Linked DNA regions of Canis lupus familiaris. The protein of the gene in region 1 purifies or fractionates together with the protein of each later gene. This does not show direct contact. Links are inferred from orthologs where the notes say so. Each region holds a gene or a part of one and is shown in the gene's direction. Other genes may lie near its edges.

The links. The genes of interacting proteins can lie anywhere in the genome.
Region 2: the proteins of CSNK1D (region 1) and CRY1 purify together in Homo sapiens (affinity purification with mass spectrometry; 3 studies listed by BioGRID and IntAct, counting the BioPlex papers as one, with this or other methods). This does not show direct contact. The link is inferred for Canis lupus familiaris from reciprocal best matches to the Homo sapiens genes CSNK1D and CRY1.
Region 3: the proteins of CSNK1D (region 1) and AKAP9 purify together in Homo sapiens (affinity purification with mass spectrometry; 4 studies listed by BioGRID and IntAct, counting the BioPlex papers as one, with this or other methods). This does not show direct contact. The link is inferred for Canis lupus familiaris from reciprocal best matches to the Homo sapiens genes CSNK1D and AKAP9.
Region 4: the proteins of CSNK1D (region 1) and SNX24 purify together in Homo sapiens (affinity purification with mass spectrometry; 3 studies listed by BioGRID and IntAct, counting the BioPlex papers as one, with this or other methods). This does not show direct contact. The link is inferred for Canis lupus familiaris from reciprocal best matches to the Homo sapiens genes CSNK1D and SNX24.

Annotation. Positions count from the first base shown.
Region 1 is NC_049230.1:906,422-910,800, forward strand, and holds part of CSNK1D (casein kinase I), read left to right. Parts: intron 1-1,401; coding exon 1,402-1,512; intron 1,513-4,379. UniProt on the Homo sapiens protein: Essential serine/threonine-protein kinase that regulates diverse cellular growth and survival processes including Wnt signaling, DNA repair and circadian rhythms. It can phosphorylate a large number of proteins.
Region 2 is NC_049231.1:32,733,442-32,738,469, forward strand, and holds the start of CRY1 (cryptochrome-1), read left to right. Parts: upstream 1-1,717; 5' UTR 1,718-2,339; coding exon 2,340-2,497; intron 2,498-5,028.
Region 3 is NC_049235.1:17,541,957-17,547,086, forward strand, and holds the start of AKAP9 (A-kinase anchor protein 9), read left to right. Parts: upstream 1-1,819; 5' UTR 1,820-2,011; intron 2,012-2,394; exon of another isoform or gene 2,395-2,611; 5' UTR 2,612-2,628; coding exon 2,629-2,676; intron 2,677-5,130. UniProt on the Homo sapiens protein: Scaffolding protein that assembles several protein kinases and phosphatases on the centrosome and Golgi apparatus. Required to maintain the integrity of the Golgi apparatus. Required for microtubule nucleation at the cis-side of the Golgi apparatus.
Region 4 is NC_049232.1:12,602,577-12,607,532, forward strand, and holds the start of SNX24 (sorting nexin-24), read left to right. Parts: upstream 1-1,645; 5' UTR 1,646-1,713; coding exon 1,714-1,773; intron 1,774-4,956. UniProt on the Homo sapiens protein: May be involved in several stages of intracellular trafficking.

The DNA of each region.
Region 1 (4,379 bases):
TACAGATAAACATACTGCTGAGAAGGATTAAACTGGTTTGTACAGCAGACATCCTTATCCACAGGGGACATATTTCATGACCCATACGGGATGCCTAAAACCATGGACAATACCAAACCCTACGTATACCTTGTTTCTTCCTAGACATACTTACTCATGATAATGTTTATAGATTACGTATAGTGAGAGATTCACAACAATAGCTAATAATAAAATAGAACAATCATAGCAACATATTGTAAATAAAGTTCTGTAACTAGGGTCTCACAAAAATCCTACTGAGCTGTACTCCCCTTTCTTGTGACCCTGTGAAGTGGTGAAGTGCCGATGTGACGAGGGGCGGGAGGGAAGTGATGCGGGTGTGTGACGTGGCGTGAGGCTCCTGCTGACCTGACCAGAGGGCAGGCACAGGAGCATCTGTCTGCAGACCGAGTTTGACTGCAGATAAGGGACACCTGTACTTACAAGGCACCTGGGGGAGAGCTAGGTGTAGGTTAAGACTCTTCCCTGTTCTCTTCAGCTAAAGCTTCTTGAGGAAGGTTTCATGGGCACAGCTTTGGGTCAAATGGGAGCTCAGGAGCATTTGTGTGTGAAGCCTGGGGCAGGGCGTTGTCATATCTGCATTTCCTTAATTGAAGTAAAGCAGAGATAGAACATAGGCTGTTATCAGGAGGTATTAGCTGATGTTTTGTTAGTTTTAGCATAAAACTAACAAAAGGTATGTGACAGGTACATGTTGCATAAGTGTCATTTGGGCTCTAAAGGGGAGTCCACCCTTCTGGTCCAGTATCAGTAAGAAATGCACAGTAGTGTCCTATTCCCCAGGAAGGGAGAAGGTTGCAGAGTGTCCTTGGGGGAACCAGCTCCACTGGAGAAGTGCCTTAACTGTTCTGAGATTTATGCGGCTCAACACCCAGGGTGGGTGGACTGAAGCCGTGGGTGTTTGGTAAAAAGGAAGGCCCACACCCACCCACCCACACAGGCCTATCCAGGCAGCATGGAGAAATGGGGAGCACACACAGTCACCCTGGAACTGCTTCGCCCTGGGTAGGTGAATACAGGGGCCAACCACCAGCTGGTGGGACAGGAAAGTTCAGGGCAGAAAAGATGGGAGTCCTTGCAGAGAGAAATGCACTGCCCTGTCTCTGGGTCCCCTATTGACGTGATCAGAGTGGGACATATGGAAGTGGGTGAGGGAATACTAAATAAGACTTTTCTATACATATCAAAGACTTCCTGCTTAAAAAGTGAAAGTAATGATGGTTTTTCCACAGGGTTTGTCAACCACCGACACCCATCTCACAGGGGAAAGCGGAGCAGAAGGTCTGTGGTGTGTTATAGTATTGCGTTAGGTGGTGGACACCAGATTATTAATGTTTGTGGTTTTTCTCTTTTGCCAAGGTACGGACATTGCTGCAGGAGAAGAAGTTGCCATCAAGCTTGAATGTGTCAAAACCAAACACCCTCAGCTCCACATTGAGAGCAAAATCTACAAAATGATGCAGGGAGGAGGTATGCCCTTTACCTGTTCAAAAGAAAACCAGGGTTGTATTTGATGAGGGAGAATGGATCATGAAGCATAGCCTCTGGTTTATTTGGGAAAGGGAGGGAAACGTCCATACATGTGACTCAGTCATGTGGCTTCCTTCAGCTACCAAGAGGCCTACTGAAGGCCTCGTTCAACATAAAGCATGATTGTCTGCTTTTCCGTAGCCTCATGTTAACTAGTCGTGTCTTTGAACTCAGGGTTTGTGTAAATTGTGATTTTTCAGGCACACTCCTGATTGTTAGGTATGCCACCTCGGTCACATGGTTTGCTCATAGCTTTGGTGGGGAGTCCCTTCAGACGCTCCTGAGTGAAACAGAGTTTGAACTCTGTGATCTCTGTGTCCCTTTCTAACTCAATTATTGTCCCAATTCTTCGAAACCTTCTCTTGGGCCTAAGGGTATCTGATGTCTGATCTTAACTTTTAGAATTCTCTGGACTTTAAGATAGTTCAGCTAAGGGAGCAGGCGGGGCTTTTCTTGGGCGTCTCAGAGTCCTGAAGACACCTCAGCATTAGGAAGGACATGTCCGTGCTTTGCCCCAAGAAGCTCCCCTTGGGAAGAAGGCTTTGTGTCTGAAGAATGGCTGCACTTCATCCTGTTAGGAGACCCTTCGTGGCAGAAGCTTCTGTGGTACTTTCATAGTTTGGAGTGTTCTCGGTGCCTTGCAAATGAAAGCTTGTCTTCAGAGTCTGAATTGCGTTTTTTCAGGTGAGAAGGGAGGATTAATTTCACTCTGGCATCTTTCCTCCACAAAAGTGGTTTAATCTGTGTTGCTACTAGCAACCAACATTTCTTGCTTTACACAGCAACACATGTCTCTCATACATATCAGAGCAACACAAACAGTCCTTCAGGACACTTCACAGAGGAGGTCCAGGGTGTCCCATCTCGGCTTTCTGGGGGCCTGAGGAGGCCATTGGTAAAAATGTCCTGGCCCCTGTGGGCCCCAGGGAGTGGTCAGCAGAGGACCCAGCCATTTTGTCTGCCCTCTGGTGACCCTCAGCAGAAGGCCGGCTTCTTAGGCATCAAGGACAGTCTACACAGGGATCCCTGGGTGGCGCAGCGGTTTGGCGCCTGCCTTTGGCCCGGGGCGCGATCCTGGAGACCCAGGATCGAATCCCACATCGGGCTTCCGGTGCATGGAGCCTGCTTCTCCCTCTGCCTGTGTCTCTGCCTCTCTCTCTCTCTCTGTAACTATCATAAATAAATAAAAATTAAAAAAAAAAAAAAAAAGGACAGTCTACACAGCTTAACAGGTGGTGATGAAAAGGAGATGACTCGGGAGGTGGCCTTCGTGGTTGGGGAGGGCCTGATGCTGGGGGTTGAATAAAGCTTCCAGTTAAAAGTTGTGTTGAGTGTTAACAAGCAGCATCTCTGAGAATTTGCAAGCTGGAGGGCCAGAGGGCAAAAGGAAAGAAGACAGTCAGCCGATACCCCAATAGGAATTGGATAAGAGAGACTGGACAGAGAAGACTTTATTCCCTTCAGGATGGGATTTCTCTGTCCCTGAACCACAATCGTCTGCGGCAGGCCTGAGGGCCCAAGCTGCAGCATTGCATCTCACTTTGAATCCTTGCGTTAAGATTTGTGCCCCTTCTCTCGGACCCTAAAAACCTAGGATCTTCTCCCTTCTTGCCATCCTCCACCTGTAGATTGAGTTTTATTCCTGTTTCAAATGTGCACTTAATGGATATTATCAAGGTGCTTTAAAAAAAAAAAAGGTAAAGATACCAATTTTTGAAAAGAGATGATGTCCAGAAACGCAGAGTCCATGATTCTGGTAGTGTTGTGTGAATTCCTCCTAACCAAGATGAAGCCGCTGGGGCTGCAGACAGGATGCAGGGGTCCTCTTGCTGAAGGTCAGCCTTCTGCATTACATCTCATGCAAATACACACAGACCACTTGGTTGTGGTGAAGGGACGGCAAGTATCTCTGACTGTGGTTCTTAGGTGCTTTTAATGCTGCATCCTGGGCTTGCTTGCATGTGCGGATACATCATAGGAGGGAGCTGAGACTGCCGTGCACTCTGTAGCTTGCTGTGCAGGGTTGTCTAGATACTGCCTGGCCTGTGGCAGTGGTGCTGTGCCTGGCTAGAGAGAGCGGCACTTAGGCAAGCAGGCCGCCTAGGGGAGGAGTTGGTCTCCACTTACAGACACTGGCATGTCTGCTGCCACTACAGTCCTGTGCAGAAACATGTCAGCCAGCCTTGTGTCCTGACTGAGGAAATCGATACGCAGAACTTGCCCGAGGACAGAGATTTGAACCTGAGCATCGTCGTGCCCAGGCCACTGCTGCATAGCAGCTCTGCTCCTGAGGAGGCATGCAGCTGCCCTGCCTGGCAGTCAGCACCATGCCCCAGATGCTTCTACCTGCCGCAAGTTTGCTGGCAATGGTGGATTAAACGCCTGGAAAAGCAGGAATAAACCTTGCTTAGATGTGTTGGTAAATGACTTGGGGAGACATTATGTTCTTCTCAAAATGCAGTAGAGTGCCAGGTCCTGCTTAGACATCAACTGCTCTTTCTCATCTGGATGTCTCCAGGGTGGCTTTGGACCATCCCTTCTTTGGTGGCCTCTCAGTAGAGAACATTTGTTCAGTCCACAGCTGCTTCTGGTCAAGGCTCAGGGCGGGTGTGGTGTGTGGGAGGGTGGAGTGGGCCATTTGTATAAAATCTGGGCTGGCAGTGAGGGTGAGCACTGAGCACGCATGGCCCTCACGGTAGAAGTGGCTGAGTCCCCCAGTTCCCTTCTCTCGTCCTGTGTCCTGGTCAGTTCCCATAGCAGAGAACATATGTAATATGTGGGAACTGATCCTAAAGTGAACACCCATT
Region 2 (5,028 bases), on another chromosome or scaffold:
AAGCCATTCTCTTTGTGTGTGGGTCTGCCTCTGTGTCCAAATTTATAAAGACGCTAGTCATATTGCATGAGGGCCCACCTTAATGACATCATCTTAACTTGATCATCCACAAAGACCTTATTTCCAAGTAAGGTCACCTTCACAGGTACTAGGGATTATATGAATTTTAGGACACAACTCAACAATTGCCCTATCTTTCCTCCTTTTAACCTTGCTGGACACATTGGTGGCAGAGAGTATTCATTCATTCACTCATTCATTCAATAAACATTGCAGTGCATATGTGTCAGGCTCTTTACTGTGTATTGATGGTGCAAAAAACAAACTGGACAGCCACCCTGTCCTTGAGAAGTCACACTTTAGAGGAAATCAGAGATACATTATTATGATAATAAATATTATTGAACACCTACTTCATGCTAGGTATTAAAGTAGGTTCCCTTCATTTACTTTTCACAATAGTATGTGGGGTGATGTATCAGAGACACACCTGGGGAGATGGGTGTCTGTCCTAAATCTGCTCTGGACGACAGGAATATTTTTGCAAATTAGGTAGCACTTCATCTGAGTCTAAAGGCCTGTGTAGAAGTACACTAGATAGCTCAAAGGTTGCTGTGGTGAGTAGCACATTCTAAAGAAGAGCATTTTATAAAGGAAAAAAATAGCACGTGGGAAGGTTAAGAGACATAATCGTAAAATCCACCAATGCTGAGGCTTTTGTCTATTTCCCTCGGGTACCTACAGTGCCTGGTTCATTCAGCCATCGCCTAACGAATACAAGGGCATCACACGGCCAAAGGAATGCCCTGGCCTGAGGCTCACTGTCGCTAGAAAGGTGGACGAAGGCCTCTTTACGAAGAGGCTTGTTAATCACACCAAGGGTGAGAAATCAGGGCCGACAGGTTGAAGATACACATACAGCATGAGGGGATTCCGGGTGCCTGGCACCCGCCCTGCCCATTCCCCCTATTCCCCAGAACACGTCCCAGGGAGCCACCCCCACCCCCACGAGGGCCAGAAGAATGGAGGTGGGGCCCCAGGGAGCCACCCCCACCCCGCGAGGGCCGGAAGAATGGGGAGGAGCGCGCCAGCTCCACGCACTCCGAAGTCGGGTTTTTCGGCCAAGGCTGCACTGAAGGCTGCACAAGGCTGGGCCTGAAGTCTAACGGAGCTTTCTTCTCTGCCTCCAACGCGTCCAGCGCTCATTCCCCTTCCGGCTCCTCCGCCGACTCTCCGGGGACCCCCGGCTGTTGCAGGCCTTCCCGGAACGCCACAGGAGGAATCCCGGAGCGCGCTCCCTCCGCCGGCCGCGCCCTCCTTCCCTCTGGAACGCAGCGAGAGCGCACGCGCACCATCGGAGCCGAGCGCGCGCCCGCGAGCTCCCCGCATCCCCGTGCTCATCCGGGTCTCAGAGAACTTCAGCCAATAGGAGACGCTCACGGCCTCCAGGGGCGGGGTTAAGCCGTCCCTCACATGGGGCCTGTGGTCACCGCGCGCGCTTCTAGGCGACCAGCCGGCGGAGCAAAGGGGCCGAGGAAAAGAGCTCAGAGTCTGAGCAGGGGTCGACGGCTTTGAGATCAAGCAGCTGCCGCCGCCTAGAAGCGACTGAATCGCGAGCCGATCCCTCAGTCGGAGCCTCTGTAGTAAACACACTTCAGAAACGTGAGGTGCCGGGGGTCACGTGGGGAGCGCGCCCTCCAATGAGGAGCCGGGGGCGGGGCCGAGGCCGCTGACGCGGCGGTGGCGGCGGAGTCACCCGGGCAGCCTCGGGACCGGTCACCGGCCGGCAACCGTCCAGCGGCCTCGACCACCGCCTCGGTGCTCGCTCCTCTTCCCCGGGCCGAGAGACTGCGTGGCCGACGGTGGCTGGATCTCCGCTCCTCCCTCTCGGTGGCTGGCCTCAGGCGGGCCGTTTTCTTCTCAGGGGCCGCCTCGGTGGGGCGAGGTTTCCGTGACGAACCTCCTGGGGCTGCCGGCGCCGGTCGGGGCCGTCGGGGCGGCTCGGGCTCGTGGAACGTGCTCACTGCCGGGCCCCGAGGCCTCGGAGCGATGCGCCTCGTGCGAGCGGTGGCGGAGGGCGCCGGCTCCTAAAGGGCGTCACACCCGCACTCGGCTGACTGGGCAACCTCCATTCATCTTCCAGCTGCGCCTCCAGCGCCCGCTCCTTCTGCGGCCCCCTCCTCGGACTCGGTTGGCCCTTTCCCCCGCTGCCGCCCTGTCCCCACTGCTTGGGTGTGGCGGTTCCCCGTGGAAGCGGAGGTGACGGGGATGAGCCGGCCCTTCCTTCCTTGACTATCTGGGGAGGGGGGACCTGGGCGAGGACCCGCCGCGCCCCCGGGATGGGGGTGAACGCCGTGCACTGGTTCCGAAAGGGGCTCCGGCTTCACGACAACCCCGCCCTGAAGGAGTGCATCCAGGGCGCCGACACCATCCGCTGCGTCTACATCCTCGACCCCTGGTTCGCCGGCTCCTCCAATGTGGGCATCAACAGGTGGCGGTGAGTGGAAATGCCGTGGGACCTGGGGCTTTCGGTGTTTAACGGGTCAGGGTTTGACCCGCAGCCGGCCGGACCTGAGAATTTAGACCCGGGGCCGCCGTCCTTAGGCCGTTTCGGATTAGAGGTGCCTCGGGTAGTACGTAGAATTGGCTTAGTAGTTCCCTGCCGGAGCGTGCTGGCAGCCTGGATCACCTCGGCCTTCGTGTGTGAGTTACGTGCCTCCGCGCCACTGGAAACTTCCCCTGGTTTTGTGGGGCAGTTCTTAGCGGTGGAGCACAAGAAACGCCCTCCCGGTTCTCAGTGGCCGCTGGATTGATGTTCTTGGCTTCTTGGCGGCTTTCGGAAGGATCGCGGCTTTGGGTGTTTACGTTTGTGTGTGTCTAGGTAACTCATAGTGTGGGGAAAATCTTTCATTCAGTAGAGGCACTTCCAAATCCACTTTTCTTCCACCTCGAGGTCGCCGTAGGAAAAGCAAGGCAAACATCTGGTTTCTCTTTGCTCAGCTGTTCCTCTCAACTCCTCCTTGTGGTTGACGAGACAAAGCACAGTTTTTCTTTCTAGGCAAAGTATAAAGCCTTCTAGGGATTAGAGCACTGAAAAAAAAAATCTTCCGACAAGCTTTATGATCTTTTCCTGAAATCCCAGGCTAGATGATTTTTAGGCCCCCTGGTGGAAATGAAAGCGTTTGTTTTACAGATAGGGTTTTTTTTTTTTTTTAAGATTTTATTATTTATTCATGAGAGACCCAGAAAGAGAGAGTGAGAGAGAGAGGCAGAGACATAGGCAGAGGGAGAAGCAGGCTCCATGCAGGGAGCCTAACCTGGGAATCGATCCCAGGACTCCAGGATTACGCCCTGGGCTGAAGGCGGCGCTAAACCCCTGAGCCCTCGGGGCTGCCCTACAGATAGGTTATTGATCACTACTGTCTACCAGGCACTGCTTTAAACACCAGGGAGGTAGCAGGGAAAGAAACAGACAAAAATGCTTGTCCTTTTCCAGTACATGTCTCAGAAAGTCAAGTATATAGTAGTTTGAAAAAATTTCTCTGATCATAGTTGTGAATTGCGGGGGAGGAAGGTGGACAAGAAACAGGGGGCTGTTGCATTCATCCAGGTGAGAGATGATAGCCGCTTGAACCATAGTGATAGTGGTGGATGTGGTGAGTAGTCAAATGCTGGGCATATTTTGGAAGTGAGAATCCGCAATGTTAGCATATTGAATATGTGGTATTAAAGAAAGAGAAGGGATTAGGAAATTATTTCAAAATTGTTGGTTTGAGGACCTAGGGTTAAGTGAAGTTGTTTGCAGAAGCCAGTGGGAGGGTGATTGGAGTTCTCTTTAGGACTTGATTAAGTTTGAGATGTTTATTACACATCCAGGTAGATATGGCAGATTGGCAGTTGGATATATTGGGTGCTCAGGACAGAGTTCCAGGCAGGACATATAAATTGGAAGGTTATCAGTTTGTAGATACCATTTAAAGCCATTTATTCGTTCATCCATTCATTGAACAAATATTATCATGCACCTACCACATGCCAGGCATTGTTTTAGGGCATTCAGCGTTAACAAAAATAGCTAAAAAATCCCTACCCTGTTAAAGTTAAATTCTAGTGGAGCCATGAGACTGTATGAGAACATAAGGAAGTGAATGTAGATAGAAAACAGAGTAGGTCCAAGGACTGAGTCTTCAGTACTCTAATGTATAGACATTGTGGAGCTGTGGAAGAATTAGCATAGGAAATTGAGAAGGAATATCTAGTAAGATAAGAAGAAAACCCAGAAGAGTTTTGGTGTCTTAGAGGCCAAGTAAAGAAAATGTTTCCAACAGCGTGCTTTACCTATGTCAGGTGTTGCTGATAGGTCAAGTAAGATGAAGACTAAAAACTGAAAATCGTATTTAGGATTTTGAAGCCATTTATAGTCTTGACTGGAGTGGTTTCGGTAGTTTCTGGAATGCCAAAGAGAGACTGAGAAGAGAGAATTTGGGGGACAATTCAGCTCTTTTAGGGGAGTTTTGCTGTAAGAGGATCAGAAAAATGATGGTTCCTGGATTGGGATGTGAACTCGAGAGGACTTTTTTTTTTTTTAAAGATTGGAGAAATTGCAGTATGTTTCTGTGCTTATGGAAATGATATAATAACTGTATATAAAAGCATTCATTAGCAGAATTGATGTCATTAATGCAAATTCTGAGGAAAGATAAATGTAATATATTTTAGTGTATTAACAGTATCTTTAAAAATAGAATAATAATTCCCTTTTCATAAAATTGTTAAAGAGGATTATATTAGTTAACAAATGTAATATGCTTAAAATGTGACTGATAGTAGTAAGTGCTTTTTTTGTTATTTGCTACTAAATTGAAAGCCCTAGGTGAGTAATATCTAATTAAATGTTTGCAGTCCATTTCTTCTAGAGTATTTGATAAGTTTATAAAATCTAGACTTTAAGCTTCTGTAGCATGGGGATTATATGTTGCTTATCTTTGTACACCCAGCCACTCACACTGTCAAATGAGTGAAATATAA
Region 3 (5,130 bases), on another chromosome or scaffold:
AACTTTTATTGATCATATATATGTAACAGGTGTCTATGATTGGTCTTAGTGAAGGGAAAGGTTGAAATAATCTTGTGGCTTTAGAAGGTTTTTGAATATTTTTAGCACGTACTGGAACAAACAGCTGACTTCCTTAGTCACTGAGAAAGCAGTGTCTATTAACAAATATATATCTTGTCAGATAACCTAGGGCTTCCTTTTAGGCAATTAGAATCTAGAAACATAATCCCTCAATCCAGGCAGTATTTAAATCACTGCAATATTAGAACACCTGGTTGTAGTCCTAGTTTGACTCTTAGCTTGGCGAATGACTAAATCACTTCTCCGTTTACTGGCTTAATTCTTTAATTCCTATGGTAAGATGTCTCATCTATTGCCCAATTCAGTTTAAGATAATAGGTCAGTATATACTTGGATGTTACAAATGGTACAAATATGTATGCATCGTGGAGTTTGAGAATATAGTCTTTTTTAAATCTAAGAATTTATAAACCGCCTGGGTACATTGGCGGTTGGGCGTCTGCCTTCGGCTCAGGGAATGATCCCAGGATCTGGGATCAAGTTCCACCATGAGCTCCTTGCAGAGGGCCTGCTTCTCCCCCTGCCTGTGTCTCTGCCTTTCTTTTATATATATATATATTTTTTTCATTTATGGTAGTCAGAGAGAGAGAGAGAGTGTGAGAGAGAGAGAGAGAGAGAGAGAGAGGGGCAGAGACACAGGCAGAGGGAGAAGCAGGCTCCATGCACCGGGAGCCCGACGTGGGATTCGATCCCGGGTCTCCAGATCGGGCCGTGGGCCAAAGGCAGGCGCTAAACCGCTGCGCCACCCAGGGATCCCATGTCTCTGCCTTACTCTCTCCCTTTCTCTCTCTCTAGAGTGAATAAATAAAATCTTAAAAACAACAACAACAAAGAATTTATAAATCAGAGCTGTTTAAACCTAGTCTTCCGGTGACAGGCACTGAGGAGGGCACTTGATGGGATGAGCACTGGGTGTTATACTATACGTTGGCAAATTGAATTTAAGTTAAAAAAAAATTAACCTATTCTTCTGGTTGTGGTAGACTTTAGATTGTTAATCTTTTTATTTTTCAACACTATTTTCACTAGCACCCCTTCTATGATTGATTTTATAGCTTATTTCAGTTCACACCTGCCAGTGTTTTAGTCCAACCTGGCTCAAAACAGAGAACCATGATCAGCCTGAGTAATCAACCTGAGACATTAACATGAGCTCACCTCAAAAATGGATTTGAGAGTAAAAGGGTGGGGAGAAAAAAGGAAGTATTTAGGGAAGAGATGAAAGTTATTAAAATGGCTCAGTTCAATCTAACAAGTTTTATCGGGTGCAAAACTATGCTAGTCATTTTAGTAATGCCAAAATAAGCAAGACAGTCTGCCATCAGGGAATCTAGCGTATGAGGTGAAGAAGTGGTGCATAAATTACTAAAGTATCATGCAGAGTACATAAAGGAAACACAAGGAGAGGGGGGAAAACTACCATTAATTAAGGACATTTTTAACATGTCAGAGGCAGTCCCATATATGGACTCACATATCTTAACGACCCCTCCAAAACTTCCAGGTAAGCTGAGGGAGGATAGGTAAGTTGTTCAAGGTCATCCAAGCTAGAAAGTGTATACTGGCTTTTGTCCGAAGCCTAGGCTCCTTTCAAGACGTCATTGCTAAGAGGGAGGCCAAGGAGGAGTGGAAAGGGAGTAAGCACGCCTGGATACTCCTAGCTGCGGTGGAGGGAACAAAGGGACCAGAGGAGCCGTTCGCGCGGCGTGTAGGTGGGCCTTGAAGGATGGACGGGAGATTGGGCGGGCCCGCGTGGGGAGGGCGGGACGTTCAGCCGCAGGAGTAAGGAGAGCTGCTGGCGCATCTCCCAGTTCCTCCACTGGAGGAGTCGATCCAGGCTGGGAAACTCACGTGCGGCGGGTCGTTTCCTCTCCGCCCCACCCCAGGCTTTTCCTTGGGGCTTTTCATCGGTCACCGGTCGCGCCGTTAGGTATACATTATTTCTGTAACTGGAAAAATCTCAGTGTTTTAACAGCGACCACCGAGTCCCTAGCGCGGTGGGCGGAATCCTGCCGGCGCCCCTGGCACACCCCCTCCCTCCCGGCGCCTCAGCCAGGCCGCCGCCACCTGGCGGGCGCTCGTCCCCCGGGAAGGGCGCTCACCCCCGCGGGCGTTGCGCCTGCGGCCGCCGGGGTCCGAGCGGGGGCCGAGGGGGCCGGGCCGGGGCAGCCCGGCGGGGGCGGGGCGGCGCGGCAGGCGCGGGGCTGGGGGGGCGGCGCTGCAGGAGCGGCCGGCGCACCTGCCCGGAGCGGCGGGGCGGCCGGCGGCTGCGCGGGCCGACGTGCCCCCCCCTTCCACTCCCGCCTTGCCGTGTGTTTACGTGGAGACGAAGATGGCGGCGGCGGTGACGGCGTTCCCCGGGCGGCGGAGGGCGGTCGGCCAGTGAGCGCGGAGACTGGTTCCACGCCGGGCGGGGGGGCGGGGGGCGCCGGGCCCGGCCCTGCCTCCGAAGCGGCGGGGCTTGCTGTCCCACGTCCCTCGGCAGCGACCTTCCGTTTTTACCCCGGACCCACTCCCTGTCTTCCCCCAGCCTTCCCGTCAGAGGCCATGGAGGACGAGGAGAGACAGAGGAAGCTGGAGGCCGGCAAAGCGAAGGTAAGAGCCCCGGAGGCTGCTGGGGCCCGCGGTGGGAGGCGGTGGCCGGAGAGGGGCGGGAGAGGGCCTGGGAGGCCGAGGTCGCCGCAGCCCCGGCTCGCCGCCCGGCCGGGAGCTGCCGCAGGACCCGACTTTCCCCTTCGCCCTCTTCTCCTTTTTCCAGTTGAAAACGCTTGGTGTGACCGCCTAGCGGATGATACTTCCGTGAACGTTGGGTGGTGCGGCTCTGCCTTGTGAATGCCCAAATAAAACCCTTCCTTTCCTGCCTTGCCGGAGGCTGGGATTCGCTGCTTCTAACCGTCCAGCCTTTCACTGTTCGAGGGAGTTCTCTGCCTAGTTGCAGGCATTGTGCTTCCCGGGGTGGGGATCGAGGCTTCTCTTTATCTGGTGGGGGATTTGCGCGTCGCTCACCAGCTTAGCCTTCTCGGTGGCAGGCTGGCACCCCTGGGTACGCGATTGGCCTGTGGCAGCTGCCTTGGCGGTGGCCTCCGTGTGCCACAAGTGCCAGCTGCGGAGTTGGCGTCGGGGGCGCTTTAGACACAGCGTTCTGTTCTGCGTTTGTGTTTGGAGGTCTTTGTCGTGGCAGGCGCTTCTGTGGTGTGTGGAACGGTAGTGCAGTCTGAACCCACTGCGGGCGACGGAAGGTACCATGTTCTAAGCAACACCTATGGAATTCCTGCTCTCAGTGATCGAATCGATGTATGCGTTCCAGTGAGTCCGTATCTTATGTCTGCGTGAAAGAAAAAAAAAAACAAACAAACCTGTAAAGCCAAGGATTCCTGACTATAAACAGATACTCCTCACCGACCTTCTGAAAAATTTGATAGACGAGACCTAAATTAAATAGCATATTTCTTTTAAAAATTACATAGTCGAGTCTGTCTTCTAGCTGGTCTCCAAGCCTCCCCCCCCATCCTCCGTTATGACGACGTTATCTTTTATAGATTATATACCGTCTTATTAGAGATAATTGTTAACAGTCATACTTGGACCACAATTAAATTATAATATAGTTAATTGTTGTTTTTTCTTTCTTCCTCTCTTTTCCTTCCTCCAAATAAATAAAAGGGACAGGGGTCCATGATTTCAGTAATCATTGAAGGGCTATACTGCAGAGATGCGGTAGTAGATGCTCAACCCAAGTTTCTTAGATGAGTATGCATATAACTTAGCTTCATATTTCTGAAATACAGTTGGCTTTCCCGTAAGTTCCTTCTATCTGAGATCAAAGCTTGAGGGCTTTTATGTTACCAGGTAGATATTTACTTTAAAATCTGTAAATGGAGGAAAAGGGGAATCAAGGAATCTTAAGAAGCCCAGAGCTGCTTACATTTCTGCAACCTGAAAGTCTGAGCAAGCTCTGAATCCAAGAAGGTGGATAAAGTGTGTGCCTCCTTTGGAGGCATTGACGTTCTAATTAGACATTTCATTAATTCAAAGTTTGGATTGCCTGCCCCCAGAATTATCTTCCTAAAGATATGTACGAAGTAGTCCTACAAAATATTCTTTGCTTTGGACAACACGTATAACAGGATTTATTTAAATTGATTTGGCCAAAAAAAAAAAAAATTCTAGTTTCTTTGTGTGTGTGTGTGTGTGTTTGTCTGTCCTTCAGTACTCTGCTTATGGAGTGAAAATCTTTTTCCTTTAATAGTCACTTATATTGTAGAGGATTATTGTCTTCTGGAGTTGAGCCCAGTTTTTCTAGTGAGAAATCTGTCAGATCTATAAGGCAAGATTTCTTTGCAGGAACATTAGCTGTACAATATAAAAACACTGGAAACAAGGAGAGAATTAGAATCATTGTTTTCAGATCATGTGAGTGCATCGGAATATTACGCAGCCATTAAGATTGATGACCAATAAAAATATGAAAAATAGAATGAAAACAGCATCATCAAAATTAGTGTATATATTATTGTTTTAACTTGTGTGCTCTTAGATTAGGACTTAAAAATTTTGTAAAGTCATTCAGCAAGCCTATATTGAACTCAACTCCTGTTTTATACCAACAGTTGGAAATTTAGAGATGGTGACAGTCTCTGTTCTCGAGTTGCTCACAGTTTAGTGGGAGAAACAGACACTGGGTAATATGCACAGTGAGAGAAGAGGTACAGTAGGATTTGGGGTGAATTTTTGATTTGTAAAAGTGTGTTAAATGCTGCTACCTTGCTTTTAAGACTACAGAGAAGGCTCTTGATATTAATGCAGCCAGTCATGGTACCTACCACATAGTAGGTACTCAAATATTTGCTTAATGAGTGAATGAGTAGAATGACTATGAGTCGTTCATAGGTACTACTTTATTAGAATGTTGTAATTTAATAGCAGTAATTCTCTTAATTGGAAGTCTGTTATTGATGGCATCAGAAATCACTTACACTGATGATTTCTAAAGCTTATTTAGAAAGTTGGCTTTCTGAATGTCTTGTTTATTCACTGAACTTAAATATT
Region 4 (4,956 bases), on another chromosome or scaffold:
TCAGCAGGCATAATTATTTTATTTATTTATTTATTTTAAACTTTCAGACTCACACATTTTTTTTTTCTTAATAAACTCCACACCCAATGTGAGGCTCAAATTCATGATGCCGAGATCAAGAGTTGTATGATCTACTGATTGGGCCAGCCAAGAGCCTCTGCATTATTATTTTAAAAATGAAATACAGAAACACTACTTCTTAGTCCTTTAAAGTCCTACTGCACATACCATTTCTTCGTGGGGTTATTAGAAAGCTTAGTCCTGAGACATGATATGTAACAGTATCTGCTTTATAGTACCCGCTGCATTCTACTGATTTTGTAAAGATTAAATATTTAAAAGCTTATATAAAGCTTTCAAGAAAAATGTGCCAGGCAATATGCCAAGCAGGAAATAAAAAAAAAAAATTTAAGGTACGTGCCCTAAAACCAACTGGGTGAGGCAGACAGGTAAACAAATCCCACAATACACTGTTAAGAGTCGCCAGAGGCTTAAGGAACCAGGGCCCAGCCTCTAAACTCAGCGCGGTGTCCACAGAGCTGTTTCCTAACAGCGGATGGTGCTGGCCGGCAGAAGAGGAAGGGTGGGCTGGTCACAGGACACAGCTGTCTGCTGAGGCAGGGAGTTCCGAGTGGCAGATCCCAGAGCTGCAAGTGTGTGGCCTGGAGGATGGGTCTTCAGACGCCTCTAAGCCGGAAGGCTTTTGCAGTCCACATCAGGCAAGTTCTTGAAGCAAAGGGCCTAATTCTTCTGTTCTCCCTGACTCAGGAACTCAGCATAAATTTCAGAGTTTACCAAGTTGCAGTGCCCCCGGCCTCCAGCGCAGACGCCTGCGGCCCCAAACCTCAGTGCCCCAGGCCAACTTTTCCTTCACCCACAAGTCACTTCCCAAGTTTCTACTCTGCTCCAAGCACTCACCCAAGGAGGACACTCAGGGTTTACAAAGGTAACCTGGTCATCAAGCTTCCTCAAGTGGAACTCCATCGTTTAGGTCATTTCAGGTTATTTGGTCCTGGCCCGACAGGCAGATTCTGGCCCTCATCTGCCTTTCCTTTTTCTCTTTTCCGTGTGTGTGTGTGTGTGTGTGTGTGTGTGTGTGTGTGTCTTCTGTTTTCTCTTACAGTCGAAACCCGCAACAGCTCCTCCGAGGCAGCATCTTAAAACTGCGACAAGAAAGCAGAGTGTTCGCCCCCGCGATCCGCGGACGCCCGGGGTGGGTGTTGGCACGGCGTCCCCGGGCCCGTCGGCCGAGACCCGGGGCACCAGAGGAGCCTCGGTGAGGCCGGAGGCTTCGCGGCGGTGCCAGGCGGCGGGAGGAGGTGCGGGCGCCGGCGGCACCAGGGCTGGGCGCTTCCCGGCTCCGCGGCCTGCAGCGGCTCGGGCGGCGTCCGCGGCCTGCGAGGGGCCGGGCGGGGGCGGGGCGGGGCGGGGCGGGGCGGGGCGGGGCGGGGCGGGGGCGCGCACCCCTCCTCGGCGGACTCGCAGGCCTTGAGGCCCCGCCTCCTCCGGGCCCAGCTCGGCTCCGCCGCCCGAGGGCCGGGCCCGGCCGCAGGGCCCCGCCCCGCCCCGAGCCCCGGAGAGCGCGGCGGCGGGAGGCGGGAGGCGGGAGGCGGGAGGCGGGAGGCGGGGGCGGGGCGGGGCGCTCGGCCGGGGGCGGAGCTGCGGCCGCTCGCCCGCCCCCCGCTCGCCCTCCGCCTGCCGGCTGGCGCGGCCATGGAGGTCTACATCCCGTCCTTTCGCTACGAGGAGAGCGACCTGGAGCGGGGATACACGGTAGGCGCGGCCGCGGCCGGACGGGGCCCCCGAGCCGGGACGGCGGCCGCCGAGCGCGCAGGGCCCGGGCCGCCGCCGCCGCCGCCGCCCCCCGCGCGGGTCCCTCGCTGCCCCCCGCCCCCCGGGGCCCGCGGCCGGGCTGCTCCCCCGCGCCGTTGCCAGGGCGACGGGGCCCCGGCTCGCCCCCTCCCCCTCCCCCTCCCCCTCCCCCGCCGCCCCCCCGCCCGCTCCCGGCCTCCGGGCAGCAGCGCGGGCAGCCGAGCCCCGGCGCGGAGCTCGCCTCCCCCCCCCTCCCCCGCCCGCCCTGGGCAGCCCGCGGTGGGCTACGCCGCCCCCGCCCGGACCCCAGCCGCCCTCCAAGTTCTGCGGGATTCATTCAGACGCATAAACAGGCTAATTGTAAGGGTCGTCTGTAGCTCTTTATCAGCCGGAGTGCACACCTGTGTTGCTTTCCGATCCGATGGCTTCCAAAGTTCGCCCCCCCCCCCCCCCCCGCCCCGTTCTGCTGGGCCCTGAAATGGGCAGAGTCAGGTGCTTCACTGCGCACCTGTTCGGACCTAAGGCTGATCCCCGAGAACCGAGACACGGGCCCCGGGCTCCCGAGTGAAAGGCTGGGTCCGGGGGGTGAACGCCAGGGCCTGGAACCTTCGATCCAGAGTTCAGTAGCTGAACTGTAGGTGGCTGATTTCCCAATGAACTTCGACGCCTTCATCTACACCGTCATTGCTGGAGGGAGAAATGCCTTGGAAGACTTTATTTCCAGCTGTTAAAGAGAAGATTGCAGACGGCAGTCTGAGAGGGCTGAGAGAACTCACCCACTTGCCAAACACCGTTTATGTTAATCTGGGAGGGTATTTTACCCTTTCTCTCTCCTAAGTATTCTTGGGTATAGGTGACAGCCTATTTGGAACCTTGTGTGTTTTCATAGGGAGGCTTAAATCTCCCTCTCAAGAGAATTTTTGGAATTAAGGGATTGAAAGTGGAATTAAGTGATTGGGAAAAAAAAAAAAACAAACAAACCCAGGGAGTATGTGGATTTTTAGGGTTAAGTAGACCTCTGGGTTCAGGTGTCCCAAAAGAAGTACTGAGTACCTTCCCGTGGGGAGGCTGAGCTCTGTTTGGCCATTATTTATATAAATAAGTCTTCCCAATGAATTAATATTTGGTTAAGTATTCTGCATTTTCCTTAAAAAAAAAAAAAAACTGTGAAAAGCCTTTTCCTGAAACCCTTGAAACCTTGCTCTATTTCTTCAGTTCAAGTATGTCTCTCACAACCCCACACACCTCTCCCAAATCAGCATCGGTAGTCATCAAAGGCCTGCCATCTTTTGGGGCATTCTTCAGGATCTGAAGATTATAGCCTGCTTGTTTGGTCTTTAGAAGTGTTCAGATGAAGGTGGTCTCAGTAATCCAAACGAAAAGCTACTTACCTTCTCAAATAAGAACTTTGAAAAAGATCATTACTGGTGTTTCTTCTCTTACAGGAGCTGTGTTTTTCCACAGTGTTTTCAAATACCTTTTAATTACTTGTATTATGACCAGGCATGTGCCACATTGTGAATTAAATTGATTTGGAAGGAGCCCTGTTCTTGGCCAAGTTGGCAGTTTGAAGATTGCTTATATGATGATAGTTTGTGTGCTTTTTAAAGGCTTTTTTTTTTTTTTTAAGATTTTATTTATTCATGAGAGACACAGGGAGAGAGTGAGAGGCAGAGAGAGAAGCCGAGTCCATACAGGGAGCCTGATGTGGACTTGATCCTAGGATCCAGGTCATGCCCTGGGCGGAAGGCAGGCGCTAAACCATTATGCCACCCAGGCAGTCCAAAGGCTCACTTAAAAAAATAAATAAATAAATAAATAAAAATAAATAAATAAAAAAGAAAAAAACAACCTAATTCATTTAAATTGGTGACCTTATTGTTAAGATACCTTTGCAAGTGATTTTTTTCCTGTGTGAGTCAATGGAGCAGCTTCTGGATCCTTCGTTCCCTCTGAGCAGCTGTTTTATAATTGCACAGCACTTATTCATTTAGCAAATAAGTGTCTGCTTGGTGTCTCTATTCTAGGTCCTGGGAGCTTAGCAGTGAATAATATTTCATCTTTTTAAAAAACCTGAGAATTAAAAAAAATATAATCTTGGGTTCCTGAACCAAAAACTTGTGAAATAATGTACACTTAAGAGTAAAAAGCGTCTTTTTACTTTAGTGATGATGTTTATTGAAGAATATTTAAGAAATCTTGCATTTGAACAAATTCAGTGATTGGAGGCTTATGGTAAAGAAGTGTGGTTCTTCCTTCCTTCTAATCCCATGCCCTCAAGACATAAAATGTGAGGGTGCTTTCTTAGAGCCCTTTCTCTATGCCATGAAAACTTTCCTTTTTTTTTCTTGGAATAAATTGTGAGATTTGACTATACTGTCATCCTACAACATGAATATATTTCTGTTCTGATATGGATAGATCTGTCTCCTCCTAGCTACTAGCAAAGGGAGCGCCCTCATGAGGAATATGCCATCATTTTTTTACCCAGATCTCTTGTTGATGGCCACTGACATTTGCTTCTAATTTTTAGCAACCGTGTCAAATGTTGAAATGAGACATCACTGTGCATGCTTTTTTTATGCCTACGACTAGGATTTTTGTAGAACATTAACTAGAAGTGGTACTTCTGGGCCTTTTAAAGTTTTCATAGATCTTGCTCAATTGTTAGTCAAGAAGTTTATACAGGGCAGCCCCGGTGGCGCAGTGGTTTAGCACCGCCTGCGGCCCGGGGTGTGATCCTGGAGACCCAGGATCAAGTCCCACGTCGGGCTCCCTACATGGAGCCTGCTTCTCCCTCTGCCTGTGTCTCTGCCCCTCTCTCTCTCTCTCTCTCTCTCTCTGTGTGTGTGTCTCTCATGAATAAATAAATAAAATCTTTAAAAAAAAGAAGTTTATACAAAGTTATGCTCACTGTACAAGGTAATTTACCTTTAAAGAGTGAACTTTTGCCTTTCGAACACTTAAACATTGACTTTGGGCTTGCGTGATGTCCAGTGTGGAATGAAAGGTAGAAGGATATTGTTCCCATCCTTAGGGATTCTTAGCCAAGAGGGGCAAAGTAGGGAAGGGCTAGGGAACCCTGATGTTATCTGGAGTCATGAGGAGGAAGAGGGCATTTCTGCACTGCCTTCTGGTAATGTG